Linked DNA regions of Coturnix japonica. The protein of the gene in region 1 purifies or fractionates together with the protein of each later gene. This does not show direct contact. Links are inferred from orthologs where the notes say so. Each region holds a gene or a part of one and is shown in the gene's direction. Other genes may lie near its edges.

Evidence for each region. Proteins that work in one complex are often made in the same cells at the same time.
Region 2: the proteins of CRKL (region 1) and GAB2 purify together in Homo sapiens (affinity purification with western blotting; 3 studies listed by BioGRID). This does not show direct contact. The link is inferred for Coturnix japonica from reciprocal best matches to the Homo sapiens genes CRKL and GAB2.
Region 3: the proteins of CRKL (region 1) and SOS1 purify together in Homo sapiens (affinity purification with mass spectrometry; 3 studies listed by BioGRID and IntAct, with this or other methods). This does not show direct contact. The link is inferred for Coturnix japonica from reciprocal best matches to the Homo sapiens genes CRKL and SOS1.
Region 4: the proteins of CRKL (region 1) and GAB1 purify together in Homo sapiens (affinity purification with western blotting; 3 studies listed by BioGRID and IntAct, with this or other methods). This does not show direct contact. The link is inferred for Coturnix japonica from reciprocal best matches to the Homo sapiens genes CRKL and GAB1.
Region 5: the proteins of CRKL (region 1) and RAPGEF1 purify together in Homo sapiens (affinity purification with western blotting; 16 studies listed by BioGRID and IntAct, with this or other methods). This does not show direct contact. The link is inferred for Coturnix japonica from reciprocal best matches to the Homo sapiens genes CRKL and RAPGEF1.

The regions. Positions count from the first base shown.
Region 1 is NC_029530.1:7,291,457-7,295,368, reverse strand, and holds part of CRKL (crk-like protein), read left to right. Parts: intron 1-2,184; coding exon 2,185-2,319; 3' UTR 2,320-3,912. UniProt on the Homo sapiens protein: May mediate the transduction of intracellular signals.
Region 2 is NC_029516.1:172,541,666-172,546,076, forward strand, and holds the end of GAB2 (GRB2-associated-binding protein 2), read left to right. Parts: intron 1-182; coding exon 183-326; 3' UTR 327-3,212; downstream 3,213-4,411. UniProt on the Homo sapiens protein: Adapter protein which acts downstream of several membrane receptors including cytokine, antigen, hormone, cell matrix and growth factor receptors to regulate multiple signaling pathways.
Region 3 is NC_029518.1:14,488,995-14,493,405, reverse strand, and holds part of SOS1 (son of sevenless homolog 1), read left to right. Parts: intron 1-528; coding exon 529-693; intron 694-2,637; coding exon 2,638-2,847; intron 2,848-3,331; coding exon 3,332-3,475; intron 3,476-4,411.
Region 4 is NC_029519.1:26,842,801-26,847,211, forward strand, and holds part of GAB1 (GRB2-associated-binding protein 1), read left to right. Parts: intron 1-1,354; coding exon 1,355-1,959; intron 1,960-3,759; coding exon 3,760-3,845; intron 3,846-4,048; coding exon 4,049-4,352; intron 4,353-4,411. UniProt on the Homo sapiens protein: Adapter protein that plays a role in intracellular signaling cascades triggered by activated receptor-type kinases. Plays a role in FGFR1 signaling. Probably involved in signaling by the epidermal growth factor receptor (EGFR) and the insulin receptor (INSR).
Region 5 is NC_029532.1:4,845,208-4,849,618, reverse strand, and holds part of RAPGEF1 (rap guanine nucleotide exchange factor 1), read left to right. Parts: intron 1-1,295; coding exon 1,296-1,452; intron 1,453-4,411. UniProt on the Homo sapiens protein: Guanine nucleotide-releasing protein that binds to SH3 domain of CRK and GRB2/ASH. Transduces signals from CRK to activate RAS. Involved in cell branching and adhesion mediated by BCAR1-CRK-RAPGEF1 signaling and activation of RAP1.

The DNA.
Region 1 (3,912 bases):
GAAACTCTACAGCATGTGAACAGAATAAAATCAGACTCAGAACGCCAGTCTGTGTGTTTCTTTTGCCCTGTGTACTACTGATTTTTTCCCATTAATAAGATTAAAATGCTTCCAAGTGACTTGTTTCTATGGAGTGGAGCATATGCAGTTTCCTGTTGGATTTTGACTGTCGTAGTGAAGCTTTCTGAATTCGAGTCTAAAACCTGGAACTCAAGTTTGTCCTTAAAAGTTACTTAAATCTAGCAGAGTAACACCGAGTTATTTATAGATGTTATCAGCCTTTTCCTAAAGAGGCTTTTGTTAGGTTCCTGTTTAAGTCATCGTGTTACTATATAAAGCTTTCTCTAGACTTTCCATTTAATGAGAAGTCAGACAAATTGTGCTTTTTCTCAAACACACCATCAAGACAAGCTGCAGCACTCCAAGAAGAGATGGAAACCAGCCACACTGATGCTACAGGAGCATGTAACTATCAGGCAGTGTATCACTACTTAGAGGATACACAGACTTTATCTTTTAGTTTACATACGTGAAGATGACAGTTGAAGAAAGTCCCACAATTATCACAAGAACGTATAGGAGTTCAGAGAGGATTTTCCTCTCTGGAAAGTACAACATTGTTCCACATGTGCCATCTGGAACATCTAGATGGGAAGTGGAAAAAACCTCTAAGTAGCGGTAAAAGCAGGGCAAGAGAGTGGGGTGAACATAATTATTATCTAACTCCATTCTAATATGCTTACATTTCTGAGAAATCTTCAGAGCTACACATTGCTGAGCGAGTGCCAGAGTTGAGTGTAACATCTTAAGTCTCACTTAAGGGTTAGGAATGCTTCTGAGCAATCTTCAAATAACGCTTTATTGCAGTAATGGTAACTACTTGCAGTAGGCTTTAGGAATATGTTTTGTAAAATCAGCCTTTTACTTTGAGTAAAGATGCACCCATCTAACTGAGAAGTTAGAATTCAAAATCCTTTGCCGAGGTCCTGAAACTACCTGTGTTAGTTCTACATGTCAGTGTTACTGAGATAATGCATATGAATTGTTATTATTGACATACTGTGTCTAACATGTTTTTCCCTCAAGAAGATCACAGCTTGTTGCCTCTGGAGCTTATAGAAGTTGGCTGCTGATGTGAAACCCGGCTGTGTAGTGCTTGAACCTCCTTTGGGGTAGAACCTTCTCAAGTGCTTACTGTTAGCTGTAGCATGGTTCTACCTTTTGTGCCCTCAGCTATTAGCTGCTGTTGTCACTTTTCTATACTTTACTATAGTTACCACATAGATGCAATTCAGTAAACAGGAAGGGAGATGCAATTAAGAAGGCTGCTGCAACAGGCCGCATGCTCAGCTCTTCTGAAACAGTTTAGGGGGAAATAACTATATAGTCTTCAGCACTGCCTGCTGTAGCACATTTTGCTTTATGAATTATCCTAATACAAATTAAACACAGCACCGAACAGAATAATTTACCACTTGAGCTGATGGCTTTTTCTTTTTTTGCTCGATCATAGCTTAGCTCTGCTCATCTTTGGCCAAATAGGAAGAGACGCAGTTGTGATAGGAAAGGCTCAACAAGTCACTGTTCCTGTTTCAAACTCTCTGATGGGAAGTGAAGGTGAAAGCAGCAAACCAAGCTAGAATTTGTGCATCTTAGACTTGGGAACACCTGTTACGGAATGCTTTTATCTGCTTTGGAAGCACAGCAGAATTGCAGAGAACTCCACCAGTTTCTTAGACCTTTACAGCCAGAACTGGAACTCTGAGTCTGTTTACTACAGGAATCTCTTTGAAAAAGATAATTTCCCTTTGAAATAAACCTGGTAATGCTGAAAACAAGTACTGTGCTCTTTTGAATGCTTGTTGCATCTCATTACTTGTGGTAGCTTTAGTGATGTCAGTCTGTCTAAGCTAAATATATTGCAGCATGAAGAAGCTTTTTTACAGGAAAAGGTGTGGTTCAGCAACTCATTGCAACATGTAAATATACATTCAGTTCAGCTGTCCCAAAAAGTGTACAGATTTCCAGCACCAAAGTGTTTGTATCAGTTAAAAACAACTGCTTTCCCTTTAAAGCTAAAGGTATTTTAAGTTACGAAGTCGTATTTTTTGTTCTTGTTTACTTGATTTGTATCAAAGCTGAGATTCTCATGTGTGCTAACAGGTGTTTTTTTTAATGCTGCAGGTTGGAGATATTGTGAAGGTTACAAGGATGAATATAAACGGTCAGTGGGAAGGAGAGGTCAACGGGCGAAAAGGGCTCTTCCCATTCACACATGTCAAAATCTTTGACCCTCAAAACCCAGATGAGAACGAATGATTCCCTTGATCTGATTTACACTGCTGCTTCCCTTTCCTGGCTCTCATTAGTGTTGTTTGAGGTGGGATGATGGCTAAATGGCACATTGCTAGCATTGCCCATTTTTCCAGCTTGCTGCAGTTTGACAGTTCTTTTAATACACATTTGGAATACATACAAACTGAAGTCACTGCCTGACCTTCATACCATAGATACAGCAACCAGAATTTGGTTTCACTTTTAAAACTGTATTGGGCCTTAAGCTGGAGAAGACTGAAGCAAATAGCAGACAAGCATGGGAAGAAAATCCTTCTTCTTGAAACTTCCATGGACTTGTTCTGGCCTGCTCAGTAGGAAGAGCCCTATCATAGAGCAAACATGCAACTCGTCTGTTACTGTCCAACAAAAAGCAACAACAAAAATGCAATTTTAGGACTGAAGAAAACTTAGTTTTAAGAAAACCTGCCCTAAGGTAGTACACTTACAATGATGGTCTCTTAAAAGGACATTAACTGAAGCTTACGTATTCTAAGCAGTTGCATTAGAAGCTGCTCATTCTGGTTAACTCTTAAGCTTGTTGACCTTCCTGGAAGTGTGTGTTAAATACAAATAACCATTGGTTGAGCTGCATTGAAGCTGAAGCATTTATTTATAAGGAAGCTTAGGAGGGGTTCACACTTGTAACCCATTTCTGACATAAAGTATTTCTGTTGATTTTGCAAGCACTAACTGTAATAAGTGAGCGTTAAAGGGAAACACTTTGACCTGGTCTACACAGAGCCCTTCTGCAGTGTTGGAAGTAGAGCTTTACTAATGTAGTAATGCTTGTCACCCAGCTGTTATTTGGTAGGCAGATGGATCAGATTGTTACAGCATGAAGAAGTACAAAAGGAACAGGACAGAAGACATTGGTAAATACTGATAAATTCTTACTATTTAAACATAAACCTTTTATACCTGTTTCTCTATAGTCTCCCTTATTGCTCTCAAGTTTCCTGGCTATACCTGCCCCAACTTGCTGAAGGCTTTGAACACAGTACCTTTTTCTCCAGGGTATCTCCACGTTGCCGTGCTCCTCTTCCAGAAGTTCTTTCTTCTTTCATTTTCTTCCCCTCACATCACAAGTCATTCACATGCTGCAACCTTTCACCTTCCAAAGGAGTTGGCTCTGGCTTATATACATATGCCCCAGACCCCTCCTACTCTCAGCTTCCTCTAGAAAGTGGTTAATTGGAGTCAGCTGCCAAAGGTTTTACACCTGATAATTAAAGTTCATGCTGGAGGAGGCCACACAGGTGTCTCTTATCAATACAGCTTTCTCTCCCCTTTTCTGTACAAAAGCTGTACTGTTGTAATTGCACCTTTGGTAAGGAACTATATGGCTGTAGCTATGTGAGTCTTATCAATGCCACGCTGGTCAAGTTCTTAACCTGTTTACGGGATATGAAAGTTTAGGGACAGTAGTATCTTCTACCTTCTTTAAATGTGTTTTCAAGGTGAACTGGAACGTATTTTTTAAATGATTTGAGCACCAATTGAACAGAATACAGCCTGGATAAAGAAAAGCATCTGCTGCAGAAAACCAGGGATATCTGACAGGAAAACAGTAGTGCC
Region 2 (4,411 bases), on another chromosome or scaffold:
GGTGCTGGTTTAACCCTCCCATCACACTGTGGTCTCATGCAAGAAAGCTGCAGAAGAGACCAAAATCTTTCACCCGATACCGTTCAGGAGGTCAGAGGGAGGGTGATGAACTGTAAGGGAGGATGGGAGTCGATGGCTGCTGATGGATAACCAGCTGGTGGCTGTCTTTCTCCTCCCCACAGCCCTCCACCTCATCAGCTGCCTCAGATGAGAAGGTTGACTATGTGCAAGTGGACAAGGAGAAGACACAGGCGCTGCAGAGCACCATGCAGGAGTGGACTGATGTGCGGCAGTCCTCAGAAGCCACCAAGAGCACCAAGCAATAGCGGCAGGGCAGACACCTAACAGGCAAATGTCCCAGGGGTTCTCCCAGCTTGGGGCCCTACCAGACTTCCAGCTCCATTTGGACTGGATTTCTCTAAAACTGCTGTCTGTGTGGAGGGGAAGGGTTCTTTATTATCATTTTCTTTTAAGACAAAAGGAACTTAATTGCAGAGGAAGACTTGGCAGATACTGTTTGCCAGTGATAAAGGTCAACTGTATTTGTTGGCTGGGTTTGTGCTTTAGCTGCTGAATGCACCATCCAGGAACTTTGATGTAGCAATACCAGGTTCCACCTTACACATTTGTTGCTTACAGTTATTAAAGCCACCTTGTATATGCTAATACCATCCTTCCCTGCCTTCTTCCATACCATGCCCATAAACTGTGCCACTTAGGTTTGGCAGCATCTCTTCTAGGACATCATTTCCCACCACCAATTCTCTTCTCCTTATGGTTGCCTTCTTCTCAGCATCCACTCAATCCCAAACCTGAGCAAAGACCATTCCTCTTTGACTTTATTTTCATCATCCCATCTATTGTAAATAGTGATGTGTTCAAAACTTCTGATAGTTTTTCTCACTGTGGGACAGCCTCTGTGTTTCTGGTAGTGATTTGTAACCATGATGAGCTCGAAGAGCTTCCAGACTGCCTTGTTGAGCTGGCTTTGCAGTCCAGGACTTACCCCACCGTACATACATACACCAGCACGTACTCAGACACTTGCATGCATGCAGGAACACCCAGGTGTGATGGAGTGTCTTTTATGGTTGACTCTCAGAGTCATTGGGTTGGAGATGCTGGCTTTGGATGGCAGAATTTCAGCCTCTCTGAAGCCAATTGCCTGTGAATCTGGCCCTAGGAACCAAAACCTACCTTTTGTGGCACAAAAATAAGCCCAGAGAGGATGAGTCCTACCCTTGGCTATCTGTATGAGGCATTCAGAAGGGCTGTGGGGCGCCTGTGTACCTGGGTTGATGTGAGGTTGAGTGATAAGTGGGAGGCAAGAGGAGATGTAGGGACCAGGAGAAGGCAGATGTTGTACCTCAGAAGTTGGACTTGGGTGAGGGGCTTCTGTGGGCTTTATCTGGGGTGAAAGGAGTGGAATAACTGAAATGTTTGTCAGTGGTGAAGCCCTAGGCTTGGAAAGGAGCTGGCCAGAAGAAGCAGGACAGGGTATTTCAGTGTTAAATGTATTGTAGCATAGAGCTGGTTCATGCTGGAAGCAAAGGATTGGTCTAAATATTGTTCCTCATCTTTGGTGATACCTCTTTGATACAGATGGGACTTTGTGATGGTCACGACCCCAGGTTCTGATAATGGATGGGAAGCTGCTGTTCCACTGCCTGCATCTTTGACACATGGAGGCTTTGGGATTGTTCCCCAAGCAGCTGCCGCACATGGAGAGTAGAGAAGGAAGAGGCAGCTTATTGCAAAGATAATTACTCATGATCTCATGAAAACAGGAAGAACTAATGATTGCCATGGAGCTGCCTGATTGCCAGACAGCAAGCGCTGACACAGATAAACAGACTGACTGCATATCGAGAGCTAAACAAAAGGCACGTTAGAAGGATTAGGTAATAACATTTGCTAAACAGCTTGAGTTATTCTTTCTTCAAGATGGACCCCTCCCAGCACCAGGAGCTCTACTTCCCACAACCACCACCAAGAAAAGCAATCGTTTGTATTAAGTATTGATGCTTAAGTGTTAACACAGTTGTTTAATCTTGGCCTGAGTTTGGAAAGGGTCAGATGCATCTCACATGGGTACAGGATGCCAGACCCTTAGAGGCTAGGATCTGCCTCATAAAATAAGTCCTCAGTTTCCAACACACGTTTGTGTTTTCCTCTGCCCTGCCATGAAATGGGACGATCTTAAGGGAAAAGCTCTGATGACCCTTTTAAGACATTGCAGTGTTGGGCTTTTACAAGAATAATGGAGCAAATATCCTCATGCTTATGGTAAAAATAATAATCATCATCTAGGAGAGAGATGAGAGAAGTCCCAAAGGGGAAGATTTAGCACAGCCAGATGCTTTGTGAAGACCAGGGCCTGTGCTTCTCATTGTGGACTTGAACGCTTGCATGGTGAGATAATGAAATGAAGAGCAGAGTGCAGTGCTTCATCTTTCTATAGCCCCTTTCATCACCACTTCTCAGGGGAGACAAAACATTGGGTCTGGTCCAGAGCCCACTGAAGTCACTGTAAAGGCTCCCATGAAGCTCAGTGAGCTCATTAAGAGGATGTGGAGAGATCTTCTGGCCTTGGCATCCCATGGGTGCCTGAAACACGAAGGAAAAGCCAGTCCCATGGATCTGGTGTGCATTGACCTGGCTGGAAGTGAGCTCTGCACAGTCCCTGTGGAAAGGCAAAGAACTTGGCTTTCCTATTTTGTCCCCCAACCTGCTCTATACAAAGGAAAATCAGGTTGGGGAGGAGGGATTATGATGTACACTGAACGCATTTCCCTGCCAAAATCATGCTGTTTGCCTCCTAAAATGCAGCCTTCTCTGGGTGGATGGCAGCAGAAACTTCAGAAATAGCCCTTCATGTTGCTTGGGGTCTCTCGCAGTGCAATTATGCTTGAGGTGAAACTGAGCCAGCTTCAGGCCAAAGAAAGCTTGAGCCACACCAAAAGCATGAAAAAATCAAGTTGTAATTGTAATTTTCTTCACTTTTCTGGCCAAGTGCATTAGATATATATCCAGTTGTTTGGAGCACGGTCAGAAATGTGTCTTCTACCTCATGTGAGGCTGGGAGATGGGGAGTGCAGCGTTTGAGGCACAGACTCAGATGTGAATGATCCAAATCGTTTATTACAAGTTCTCACATCCCTTATATACCTTTACAAGTTGTTATTTTCTAACTTTCCCGTCCGCCCTTACAACTTTCCCAACCACCTTTACATGTCAACAAAGCATTCTTCAAAACACTTTTCAACTGTCCATGCAGGCACGTATCCAATCAGAGCTGTGAGACTCTTCTTCTCCTTGCAGAGGTGTCCTTGGTTCTCATGCTGTTTATCTTGCTCCACAGCTGCTGCTCTGAACAGCTTTTCTTGTATTCCCACAGGGGAGCTCAGCCATGGTGCCATTGTTTGAGAACCAAACCAGGGTTGGATACAGTTGGTGCATCTAGTGCCCACTTCCATGTTTAATCCAAGGTGTTAAGATTAGGAAAGCATAATCAGTACTAAACACTACTGGAGAAAACAGTCCTTTTTCTCCACATCCCACAGTGATGATATTTGTTCACAGGTAGACTCCATCCATATAGACGTGGCTGTACCAGCCCCTCTGTAATCAATTGCTGCAGTGGAAATCGCCATTCCCGCCTGTTGTTGAGCTGATTACAGCAGTCCCTGATGATTAATGTTTGTGTAGTATTTAGTCTTAAACTGTATTGAAAAGCAGCTGGCTTAATTACACGGACTGCCAAGAACTTTGTCCCGAAGGCACTGAGTTTATCACATCCACTCTATACTTGGATACTCAAGTATGACAGACTCTTTTGTTAGAAATAGGTATTTTAGGAAGCTGAGAATACTGCTAATGATTCTTTTTAATTGCAGGCAAAAGACCTGACTTGAGTCCTTACGTCTGAGCCTCCTCTTCAGCTGCACAGTCTCATTTATGACAAGGGATGTGCTTTTATACGTGTTTGCTCACGGAGGAGGGTTGACGGTAGGACATCATGACCTCAGTTTTTAGTTTTATTAAGTATCAGAGCCATGTCAGAAAGCTCTTCTAGCATTTAAAACTACTGATTTGGTGGGTTTGGGGGCAGAGGTTACCAAAAACTGTGTATTCCTTTTTGTGAGTTTGCAACTGCTGTTCACAACCACTCTGTCTCATGAGATACATGAGTTGTCTTTGAACTGATTTGCTCTTACTTGACATTTGAGAGTTTCCATCTCTAAGTGGATGCCAGGATTAGATCTAGTCTCAAATATAAGAAAATATGTGTGTGTGCAGATTGCTCTGGGACAAAGCTGACTGACTGGCAGATGGGGCTACATCTGGAGCTGGCACCAGAAGGTGGCCAAGGCTTGGGTTGACTGGGAAATAACCGGGATGAGTTTGGAGC
Region 3 (4,411 bases), on another chromosome or scaffold:
TGATTTTGGAATGCAATTGGAAATTGACAGCTTTGTTTTGTGTGATTTCTGTTTGGTGCCTGAAATGTAAACCAAAAAAGCCCAACGACGTGTGTTTCTTTCAACGTAATTTAATTTTCAATGTTTCCAGTTCAGTTAATTGCATATATTTCTTTTATTTACACATCTAAGGATATTTTTGGAAATTTCTTGATTGTTTTTTGAGTCATGCGAAATAATAACCAAATTTGTAGCAAATGAGCACATGGCTTTCTTTATCCACTAGAGAGTGCAAGCAAGAAACCTTTCAAGCAAGGCTTCTGGGACAGTTCACTGTGGTCACTAATGTAGCTGATAGAGCAGCATCTACAGTGTTGCTGTTTATTTACTTGACCCACAGACTGTTGCATTACTGTTGCTAAAATAGACTGTATGTTGCCAATGTCAAGTAGAGTCTTAAACTTGCACCATAGGTTACAGTTACAAATCGTATATTTTGACACCTGAATAACATAGGATGTTTCGTGTTGGTTTTTTTTTTCCTTTCAGGAGGTTCTAGGTTACAAAATCGACCACCAAGTGTCTGTTTACATAGTGGCAGTATTAGAATACATTTCTGCAGACATACTGAAATTGGTTGGGAATTATGTACGAAATATAAGGCATTATGAAATTACAAAACAAGATATTAAAGTGGCAATGTGTGCTGATAAGGTAAGCTTAACTCTTGTTTTTCATGTTAAAAGAGCATTGAAGTTGAATTTTAAGAGGACTTGTCTATCTATTCCTTATTGAGTAAGCAGTGTTGTATGAAGAAATTGCTGCAGTAAAATATTGTTCCAGTAATGCAACAAAACTATCTGAAAGCTAATTGAGTTGCAGAGCTGTTACTCGTGCTTATTTACAGTTAAGTGTCTCTTTCTTTTGATATTGCTTGCCTAATCCCAGCAATGTGTGAATGCTTTAAAAGTTGTGAAGCAGCAAAGACTTCAACATTTCACATTCATTGGCATTAATAGTAGCTCCTGCTTTTCTTCTTTGTATCTTAGAAAAAAGAAGGCTGAATTGAAGCATGGGTACTTTCCCAAAATAAGACCGTATTGCAGTGTTTCTGTGCTCAAGTTAAAAACAGACAAACGTAGGCATCTCTGTTTCTCTGTAGGCATCCATACTTTTATTGCCAGGTCTTCTTTCCTCTGGTTTCAGAAGAGTCATTAGATTCAGACAGTAGTTACCTCTTTACCCAGTGATCCAGCAGTGCTGGAGAACAGGCTGTTGCGTTTCAGGTGCCTTCGCACTCTGGTTTCTATGGCCACCTCATCAGCATCTTGAGTTTTCCGTTTAAAAAACCAAAGCCTGAAGTTAGTCCTTTAACAGATGGGTCTCGAGAGATGCTCATATTGCTGCAGTCCAGTGGATGCTTTCAGTATCTTTGGTTGGACTTGCCTCTTCTTCAAGGAATGCTTTTGTCTTGTTCACGCTTGAGTTTTTTTTCCATCTTGCTTCCATCTTCATCTCAAGAGGAAAGAAAGGTGTTGTGTGAGGCTGAATTATTAGTGAGGTTGTGTGAGTGAATTATTAGTCAGGACAGTTGTCTTGGTCGTTTGGTCTTTTGGATGCACCCTCCTGGGCTGTTACAGCGGTGTTTGGAGCTGTGTGCTTGAATATAGAATAGGAACAGTGCTGTTGCTGCATGTGTCTCTGTATCCTGGGCAGGGATGGCTGATGGGTTAAAGAGGCTAATTGGGAAAGTGCATTAGGCACTAGTACACTGGAGTAAGTGTAGAAGAAGCTTTTGGGAGCTCTGAAGTGGGCATGTTGATTTACTGGCTCAGTGGAATAAGCCATTGGCAGGTATTTCCACGCTGTTTTCTTTTCCAGCCGCATCAAGGACCTTTAGGTTCCTGCTGTCAGTGTGCGCATTCTGCTTTTCTTTTTTTAACAAAACAACCAAAAGTTTGTCATCTTCTGTCTCCTTTCCAAATGCTTTCACACTTCTGTTGGTGCCACCTGGCTATCTGAAAAATTCTACTTTGTTTAAAAAAAGAAAGAAACAACAACAAAAAAACCACAGAGCAAACAAAACCGCACACAAAAAACCATCACCTGCATTAGAATGCAAGCTATTTTTATTTGACTGTCTGCTCGTGCTTCTGAATTCTCTAAGTGATTCCAGTTCAGAAGAACTGAGGAGCTGGTATTCATCACAGGTAACGGGGTTCTGAGTTCAAGTCACAAATGGCTTTCTGTTAAAGCCAAAGGTGAAGAGCCGAAACGCACGTGCTTCTCCATAATATTGCATCTTTAGAATCTTAGGTTGTGTAGGCTTATTCAGTGTTACAGAACATTACTAAATGCTGACACCTCCGTGCTTCATAGAACTCTTAGAGCAGTGATTGATTTTTAGGACCACGTTCTGAAACGTGCCAAGACTGGCCTGAGTGATGGGGTTCTTCAGAAATTTGCACTGCAAATATTGACTTGCAGATTCATAACAGTGCGTGTTGCTTTCATAATGCTCAACCAATTGCAGAACGATAAGTACAAACACTGCTGCTGGTTAGTTTGATTTAATGGAAATAATTTTATTTTCTGAAAACTTACTGGTAGATCTTGAAGTTCTGTCACTTTATGGCTTTCTCCCTCTTTGCTGGCTAGGTGTTAATGGATATGTTCCATCAAGATGTAGAAGATTTAAGTGCACTAACTTTATCTGACGAGGAGCCCTCCACTTCAGGGGAGCAAACCTATTACGACCTAGTGAAGTCATTTATGGCAGAAGTCCGGCAATATATAAGGGAACTTAATCTCATTATCAGAGTCTTTAGAGAGCCATATGCCTCCAACTCCAAACTATTTTCATCTCATGTAAGTGTTGTGTTTAAATAAGTATATGTGTATATAACATAATCTGTAAATGCTCATCTAGATTTATACAACTTAACTATTGTCCAGTTTAACACATCCATAGCAGAGAAACACTTCCCTTGAGTTCTGAAATGTGAATTGTAAATGTTTGTGAGGAAACATCTTTCTGTAGAAGAAACCATTCAATTTTATGTGTTCACTTGCAGGAAGGACGAGTTAAAGGTTGGTCAATGCTCTCTGCCACATTAAATTCATTGTAAATGCTTTTATTTTTATATGTACATATACAAAGTCATTGTTTTAAAAATAAATGCTATGATTTTATATTTCAAAAGTTATATACACAATATTGTTTATAAATTCTTGTTCTGGTTAAGGAAATGTTTAATTCTCATATTGTAACAGAGTTGTTTTGTACATAACATTGTATCTCAAATTATGTCCAGTTCCTCATTGATTTTTGCCTGTTTCTGTTTCTTTGCAGGATGTTGAAAATATCTTTAGTCGTATATCAGACATTCATGAACTTAGTGTAAAGTTATTGGGTCATATAGAAGACACTGTTGAAATGACAGATGAAGGTAGTCCTCATCCGTTAGTAGGCAGCTGTTTTGAAGATATGGCTGAGGTAAGAAAATACTGATTTTTCTGTTGCTGTTGTTAATCACGTGGACTTTAAGGATTTGCACGCAGGTGCTAAGCGCATGTCTGCCAAGGTGCCTTTATTTAGATTTTTGATTTCTTTTTCTAACCCTCCCCCAGTCGAGAGTAAACTATTTTTCTAGAGCATTCACCTTTATAGTCTTAGTCTTCAATCTTTGTAGGCTGTTTAATCTTCAGTAGAGGCAGGGGGAACAAACAACAACAACCCAGTGACTAGATTTCAACAGCAGAGTGAAGCAAGGGCTTCTTTGCCAGCAGGTGTCCTGAGCTGGTGAGGAGGGCTATTACACTAGGCTTGCTACGGGAAAGAAACTGAAGCTTGAAGATGGGGGACATTACAGAGGAAGGTCTTCAAAAGGAATGTTGTGTCTGAGCTTCTCCTGCAAAAATTTACCAAAGTCTTCTTTAAGCAAGGGGTTATTACCACAGACCCTGTAGCTTCTAGGAGAATAACCATGCTGACATCCACAAGTTACTGTGGTTGAAGTAGCTCAGAAGGTTTCTACAGGTCATGAGAACTGATATGGATTTGACAAGTGTGGAGTGTTTGAATGAGGAACTGGCTGTGAGATTATACCCAGAGAGTGGTGATCAGTGGATCAATGTCCAAATGGAAATCAGTGACAAGTTGCGTGTCTCAGAGTTTAGTACTGGGACTTACACTCTTTACATCTTCATCAGTGACATCAGCAGTGGGATTGAGTGTAAACACAGCAAGTTTGCAAATGACACCAAGCTGTGTGGTACAGTCACTGCACCCAGATGGGATGCAATTCAGAAGAGATCTAGACAGGCCTGCAGCACTGGGCCCAGGTGAACCTTATGAGATTTAAGTGCAAAGCCAAGAGCAAGGTCTTGCACCTGGGCTGTGGTGAACCCCATAATCAGTACAATCAGGTTA
Region 4 (4,411 bases), on another chromosome or scaffold:
GGCTTTTTTTTCACACTGTATCAATATCTCCACAATGAATGAAGAGGAAACCTAAATGAATAGCTAAACTGGATTCCTTTCTCCCCAGGTTGCTAGAACCTGGAAGGAGAACCTGGAGGTAAAAATCTGGCTATTGCTTAAGTAAGGAAATGTTTGATTTTATAGACAAATTGATCATTTTTAGAACAAGAATCTTTTAAAGGAAAGATAGTGCTGATTTGAATCTTTTCTTCAGCAGCTTTGTAAGCTATATTGCCCAGTTGCTTAGTATGAGTAGTATACCAGCTATTCATTATTATACACATGCTGCAATATGTAGGTATGTATAAACAAAAACAATGATATGATGCTGTGGTAACGATAAAAGGAAACACCAGGATATGGTGGAAAAACTGCATCACCTCCACCTACATTAGTATTTCTGCAGTTGTCTTAACTTGCACTTAAACAAGGATTCAGACTTAGAATCTCTCTTCCTGGAGCAAGGTAACTGGGGAGGTGTTCTCCCCTATATCCTCCTACCCCCCCCAATAAAAACAACAGTAAACAATACCCCAAACCAGAAGGTAGTTGTTTACTTTCTTTATTCATTTGTACCAGTAATAATGAGAGCTGTTCTCATAAAAAGTGGCCGTTCCAAAAAAAAATAAAGGCAAGTAACTGTGCAGTTTTGCGTAATGATGTGACCTTGTGTTCACAGAAAAGAAGCACTCTGTTGTTGCGTATGTCATATGGATTTCTCTCTTTTTCTCTTTTTTATAATATGATTTAAAACAAACAAAAAACAAACAAAAAAAACAAAAAACAACTACTTGAATCAGTTTTATTTGGTTAGTAGGTAACTTCAGGCATGCACTTAAGGGTGTTGCAACCAGTCATATTTTATCATATTTTTTCATACTGGTTAGAACTAGCAAGTATTCTAATCTCAAGGGTTGAATGCATTTTCACTTTTAAGTGTTGTTGAAACGCTGCTAGTTTGCAGAACTGATTAAAAGAATAAAAAATTAAAGAAACCCAACCTTCAACTACCCAAATAGACTTTGCTTTAGGTTGGCTTGACATCTTCCTGGAAATCACTTGCTTTATGAAATACCAACTTGCTGAGCTGCTGCTAAAGCTGCGCACTTGTGCTGTTATGTTTCACATGCATGGGTCTGTATATGTGTAATCACTTAGAATCCTTCTGCAGTACTGTTTGTTTTGTAATTGGGTTCCTGCGTTTCATTTTTTAAAAGTTGGAAGAGACTGATAAACCTTTCAGCTGTTCACATTTTAAACATTTTTTTAATTATTCTTGATGCTTGTTTTCTTTGTGTTCATTGATGTTTTAATCTCTTGATCTTGTGTGTAGATCTCATGCTGACTCTGCAAAATCCAGCTCTTCTGAAACAGACTGCAATGATAATGTGCCCTCCCACAAAAACCCCGCTCCATCCATGAGCAAGCAAGCTGTGAATGGCTTTTTTCAGCAGCAAGGTGTCTATGACTCTCCGCCTTCTCGTACTGGACTACCATTGGCAGACTCCAGCCTTTATAACCTGCCTAGGAGTTACTCACAAGATGTTTTACCGAAGGCAGCATCTCCAACAGGGACTGATGCAGAAGGCGAGCAACATGTTTTCAATACGCCATCAGCAACATCGTCATTAGATGCACAGATGAGGCACATCTCCATTAGTTATGACATTCCCCCTACACCTGGAGGTACTTATCAGATTCCAAGAACTTTTCCAGAAGGAACATTGTCTCAGACTTCAAAATTGGAGACTATTCCAGATATTCCTCCACCTCGGCCACCAAAACCTCACCACGCTGCAGATCGATCTCCTGTGGAAACATGTAGCATTACTCGAACAGCTTCAGATACTGATAGTAGCTATTGTATCCCTACTGCAGGAATACCGCCCTCACGCAGTAATACCATTTCAACTGTAGATTTGAATATCTTTCGTAAAGGTCAGTGCTCCATATTTTACTTTTCTCTTCCAGATTCTTTTAATACTGAATGATATTAGTCTTATGAAGAAAGAAGTGGTACGTGTGGGTTGAATATTGAGTGTTGCTTGTATCCTTGAGAAGCAAGTGTGTGGCACTTCACAAAGCACTCACTGAAGTCTAAAATATGGAAGAAACCAGAGAAAGAGATGTTTAATAAAGGAAAGACATCAGAATGTCAGAACATTGATAGAGGCTACTCCACTGTGGTATTCAGCTTTAGCTGAATGTTTTTGAAGTGCTAGACGTTTCCGTGGTGTTACTAGTCTTACAAAACAGCAGAGGAAAAATAAACATTGTTTTTTGCTAATAACATCATATAGCTGAGTTCAAAACCGCTGCTGTCAGTCTGTCAGAACAACCAAGGTAAGGTTCGCACATAGTGATCCAAATCTGCATAAGCTGGAAGTTCAGTGGAGTTTGGTATGCACCAGGAACTTTTAGGTCAACCCTGAACTGGTTATTGATACTACAGAAGTTTTGTGTTAGACGTGCATGCAAAGTTTTTAAAGTAAAATTGAAGTTGTTCCTTGTAGCCTTTTAAATGTCAGCACTGCGGACTTGCTAATGCATTTCTGTTGTTTTTCCTTTAGCAGCTGGATACATTTCTGGGTACTAGCAAATCCAGTGGAGCTACTTTTACTTTAGAAAGACTTTAGTGTTTCTTGTATTTCTGCCCGTTTATTTGTACATGTTCTTATTCTCTCAGATTTAAAGTAAAGAAATGCAGTGAAAGGCTGAGTTTGAAAAGTGACATTTGTTGTTACAGAGAGCAGTTGCTGTTGTCTTACTAAAAACGTTTGGGCTAAGAGTTTCATTTCTTTCAGGTTCCTGAGGCAGGTGGGTATGAAGGCATGACTTTTAAAGTGGGATTCTATACTGGCTGCTGCTGATGTCTGTGGGGACAGTTGCAGTGCCTGTGGGTCAGCAGGCAAAAATGACAAAGATGATGGTGGTGGGGGAAGCCTTTGGAGCTCTTTTTCTAGGTCAAGAAGGGAATGAAACAGTTTCCCCCCAAGTTTCTGTCTTAGTGTCAGTAGAAGCAGGCTTGCTGAGCAGTAATGCAAGCTGTTGCCTGCAGCAGGTGAGTGGGACCCAGGACCTGGGAGCACAGTATTTCACAAACATCCTCCAGAGAGGCAGTCACGAAGGTGGACCTTCTTAATGTGGAGTGCTGGGAGCCAGGATCCTGAGAAGCATGAGATATTTAGGTTCTGTCACTTATTCAAAGTGAAAACCCCTGGAAACCTAACAGGGGAGTTGAGAGAAGAGTTGTGGGGTATAAGAATTTACCTGTCAATGTAATCAATTAATTTCTGTTGAATCAGCACTTTCCAAGCAAGCATGTTCAGTCGGAAGACCTCTCTCTAGACCTTAAATTATATCTGTTGTTCATTTATTTCATAGTAGGTTTCTCATGAGGGCCGTATATCTCAAAATGTATTGGTCTTGCAGTAAAGTTTTATACCTGTCTGTTTTGAAAGGAAGATTTATCTGGTTCTTTAAAAGGAATAATTTGTGTTTTTTTTGGTTTTTTTTTCCCTGCCATGGAAAACATCACTATAAGATTTTCAAGTTGATTGGCAAGTGCTGAGTTCGTTTATGAACACAGTCATCTCAAGTCTATAGATAAAAACTGTTGGTCACAACTTTGGGAGGTGTGTTTGCATGGTGTCGTAGAAGCAGACAGTAAATAACAATGACTGGTGCCAGGGGACGGGTGAGCAGGAATGATTAATAGCCACTTTCTTATTTCTTTAGAAATTAGTTCTCAAGACTGTTATGATATTCCACGAACGTTTCCGAATGACAGATCTAATTCATTGGAGGGCTTCCATAACCACTTTGTAAGTATGATGTGATCTTATGACAGACAACAGTGATAGCTTAAATGCTCTTTGTTTCTGTATAAAAAAGCAAGCTGTATGGTGTTTGTGATGTTCAGTTTCAAAATGATGTTTTAATCTGAGTAGCTTAGGTTAAAAGATTCATATGATTCTCAGCTGATTGCGTAACTTATTTTGTTAAAGGAAATATATGTTAATTCTAGAAAAACAGAAGCATGTTGACAGTGGGAAGTGTTTCAAGTGAAGAACTAGATGAGAATTATGTCCCAATGAATCCCAACTCTCCTCCACGACAGCATTCCAGCAGCTTCACTGAACCCATCCAGGAAACAAATTATGTTCCAATGACACCAGGCACGTTTGATTTTCCGTTATTTGGAAAGCAAGTCCCTCCTCCCTCTCACATGGGTTTCAGGTCCAGTCCAAAGACCCCTCCCAGACGGTCAGTGCCTACTGAAAAATGTGAACCACCACCAGTGGATCGGAACCTCAAACCAGACAGAAAAGGTGAGGAAAATATCCAATAGAAGTTGATTTTTATCATCTAATAAAATATTATAGCTCAT
Region 5 (4,411 bases), on another chromosome or scaffold:
TTTGCTTTAGGGGAAGGGTTTGCATCGAGGAAAAAAGTAATTAAATCTAGCACAAAATAGGCTTTCAATTACTGCCTCCTTAGAAGGAAGCAGAACAAAGATTAATCACAAAGAAATCAAAGCCAGAGAAAGAGATGGAGGAGGGCCCTATTTAGGAAATATCTCCCACTAAGTTAATTTTGTTTAAAATTAGAACAAATGGCAAACACTGTGCTTATAAAACAAACAAACTAAGAAGCCCTTGCTGCTGTCTGTATCCCTCTGGCTATAGGCTGACAATAGTTCTACCCCTGGTTCTGCAAACACCTGAATCATCTCACTTGGGTTTGTGGGTTTGGTGCTCTTCTCACAGATAATGAAATTAATGGATTTAAGCCAGTGTCAAATGGGTGCCAGAGAGGAATGGGAAGCTTCAGAATGCTCCTATCTGTGATGATGGCAAGATTGCGCCCTCTCTTATCTCCTTATGGGGTTTTGATGCAGTTTGAAAGTGATTTAATTTTACAAAGAGTTGCCATCAGCATTACTATTAACACACCTTGTTTAGTAATGAAATGTTTTCAGCGCGGCCAGGAAAGTGCCTCTGAGCACTGTTGTTACAGTTAACTTTTATTTAGGGTTGTCATCCTTCCAAATTTCATTTCTCTTCCTTCAGAACAATAGCTTTGGGTTCTGGTTCTCATTAAAAGCAAAACAAAACAACACCCTTCCTCTTCCAAACCTGAAATTCATTCAGCTCAAAGTTTGTAAAGAAGCAGGTTTGAATTGCTTGTTTTCAGGCATCATAAACAGTGGGGGAAATGATTTGTAAAGGAGTGATGCAGTCAGCTTGCAGTAACGTAAAACGTTTTCTGAGGGCAGTTAAGAAGGAAAGCATAGATAACATTGGAATAATATCAATTAGACGTAAATGCAGGATTCAGCAGTTGCCTTTGAAGCTGAAGCATAGGATGGGGGTGTGGATTAAAAGGCAAAGAGCATTCTTCTTAGCATGGCTGTGTTAGCTTGCAGCTCAGATTATTAGCTGGTTGTACTTTCATACTGTTGTTCCATTTGGCTCTAAAGAACAGGAGAGCAACTGCTGAAAGCCCAGGCTTTGTCACCTGCTGAACGTAAATCATGAATGCCAGAATGAAAAGGAGAACCACAACAGTGGGTAGTGTCGAAATAATTTTAGCAGTGTGAAATGCACTTTAGATCGTGCTCTCTCTGGTACTATGTGATAATATCTCTGTAATTGATTATTTTTTTTTTTCTCTCTTTTTTTCTTGACTGTTTCCTTCCCTGCCATCCAGTTCTGCCATCTCATCCTGCTACAGCCGTGTGTACCAGAGCCTGGCCAATCTCATTCGCTGGTCTGATCAAGTGATGCTGGAAGGTGTGAATTCCGAAGACAAAGAGATGGTGACAACTGTTAAAGATGTCATAAAAGCTGTTCTGGATGGAGTTAAGGTATGTGAGACAAGTCATAGAAAGCATACGGTGTCTGTATTCTAGAAGAGATCTAGCTGAAAGAAGCTTTTAAGTGCTGGTAGGATCCTGCTTTTTCAGCAGCCTTACCTCTTAAATTGACTGCTCTGGAAGTGAAATGGTCCTGCTTGGTGTACTGGTTAAAGACCAGCACTAATGGTTTAGCTATTAATGTGCAGTTCTATATGTTCACCCTGGCATTTGGATGGATTGCCCAAAGCAATAAATCTTAATTGAGCATTGTATTAAATTTTCAGCAGGTAATTCCCATTCTCTAATTCTCCTATGCAGATTACAGTACTGAGTTTGCATGTTTTCTGTCTAGACGAAATTTAATGGAAGTGCTTCCTTCCAGTACCCACAGAGAATCAAAGATTCCAGCTCCATCTTTTAGCATGAATGTCAAAGTGTTTGTCAGTGATACGTTGAGCATCTTTAACAACAGGGCTGAACTGGCAGAGCAGTGTTGAGTTCAAATCCAGTAGGAAATTTAGACTTTTAAGAGCTGCAGCAGGTTCTTCAACTGGATGAGTGTGTCAGGAAATGGCATCTTTGACTGTACTCAAACTCCATTTGGTTTTAGTATCTGGATTTGAATGTGAAAATCCAGTGAATATCCCCAGCTTTGACTATCATGCTTTCAGGAATCTTTATGTGTTTTTTGCGTGCTCTGAATATCTCTGTAATGTTGCTTAAACCCTAGTGTGACTTATCAATCCTTTAAAACAAATGTCTTTGGAAGAAAACATTTCCATCACCTAAAGTGGACAGATTTTCCAGGATTATTTTGCATAATATGCCCTTTAACTTTAAGCTCTGAATTTGAAAAGTAAAGCGGGTATTAAGTTTGCACAGCGGGATGGAGAAGAGTTCAGCATTAAATCTCAGCTGCTGTTAGTGTGGCAATTCAGCAGCCATTTGCAGTATATGAAACTCTGCACTCTTGACAGATGAATAGTCAAGCCTGATAAACTGCAAGAGGGTTCACCCTGTTATCACCTAATGAATCTACACAGTCCTGTGTTATCACTAGATCTGGGTTACAGTTGCATGAAACTTGGGACACCCACTGTCCTTTCACTTCAAAGAAGGCTTAAGCATCTGATACCAGTTGCTTCCTAACCAAAGCAGTGTGGATGGATGGATGGATGGATGGATGGATGGATGGATGGATGGATGGATGGATGGATGGATGGATGGACGGACGGATGGACGATGGATGGCTAAATGGATGGAAGGCCGTGGATGTCTGCTGAGCCAGCCTAGGCTGGAAGCAGTGCAGGCACAGCCATGCAATGCTAAGCCTGAGCTATTAACCCCACTGAGCTGTATCAGGCTCCTCTTGCTGCTAGATTGCAAGTTATTTTGGCCTTCCAGTTAGAGCTGGCTTATGTCTAGTCAGCTTGGAACATGATGAGAGCAGATGTGAGGCCGTCCGGGTAGATGTTAATGTCTGGCCACCAAGACTCAGTATATGGAAGTGCTTTGTACTCATCTCCTAAAAAGAAGGTTTATTTTAGAAGGGCCAAGCCAGCCTTCAGGTCTGGAAGCAGAACTGAGAAGCTGGACCCTTCTGTGCTGTGGAGAGCCTTTTCTGTTTCTTTGGCAGATCACATAAGATCCACTTCCACATTTCGGTGTTTATTTCCCCCTTTATTTTCAGAACTGAGCACAAACGAGTTGCTTGTTCACTTGTGCTGTTTGCTGTTTTGATTGCAGGTTTTAATGCCTTGCCTGCTATATATAACAGGGGGGAAAAAAATCCTTGTTTTGATTACATAACTTCTTAAAAATCCATCTCATTTTGGAATTTTCAGTTTGCTGAAGTAGTAGAAGTTTATACAGAGGCTTTAATTATCTCTAATTACTGCTGCAGGAATCTCTTTACTTGCTGATAAGGAACAGCATAATGTGCATCTGGCTCAGCTGAGTGCTGATTACCTCTGTACTGTATACTGAAGATCTTGGCTTGATTTTCAAACACTAGTTCTCATTCTGGGGTTAGTGGAGAGGAGAAAAAGGCAGGATTCAGGGAATCTAGTGCTTTTGTGCTTGTGCTAATTGAGGTCCCAGACAGGACCATCTTCATAGTGTTAGCTCAGATGGCCATCTGTATGTGCTGTGCTTGTGCACTCTCATCCTTCCCCATGTGTGGGCTTTTCCAAGACAGCTTCTTGAAAGCTGAGCATTTTGTTGTGTGGTTGGTGGGCTCTGTGCAGATTATTTTTGTGCCCAAGGTCATACCATGAATGTAAGTACATACATTGGCCCAGTCAGAATCAGTTGCGGTGTGCTCTTGGACGTGTTGAAATGGGTTGCAGTGTCCGTCCTTTGCACATCCACGGTGCTACTTTATTCTCTCTGTGATTATTGCTTTGGAAGAGGAAGCAGCTGTTTCTGACCTCAGCAGGCACAGACGTGGAGATGATGCTGAAATGATGACACTGTAGTTCAGGCTGCTAATAAGTAAAATTGATCCCATATAATTTCCTTTGCATAACATGCTGGGAAGCCAATAGTGTCAGGAAGCACTGCCAGTTATGCAGCCTAACTGAGAGGGCACGTGTTTGTGTCTGTGAGCAGCAGATACATTTGTTGGTCACAGACACGCATGAAAAGTTCTCTCCATCCTTCTGGAGTGAGTGATGAATCTCCAGATGTTGCTTTGACTGCTGGCAGACTTGGAGCTCAGGATTATCATGTGCTTATCTCTTTATCCACCGCCTTATCTGCCTACAACAGATACGCTATAATAGTTTCCTGAATGATGAAGACTTTCATTGCTAACAAGTTAAAAGATGGCTCTGGGGGGAGCAGGCCTTTTAATTAAGGTGTTTGCTATTTAATTTGTTGTTGGACATCTTTCAGAAACCAGCCTTTGGAAACAAATACGTGACACACACTTGTTCGTGAAATATAAAGCAGTGATATAACTCTTTTA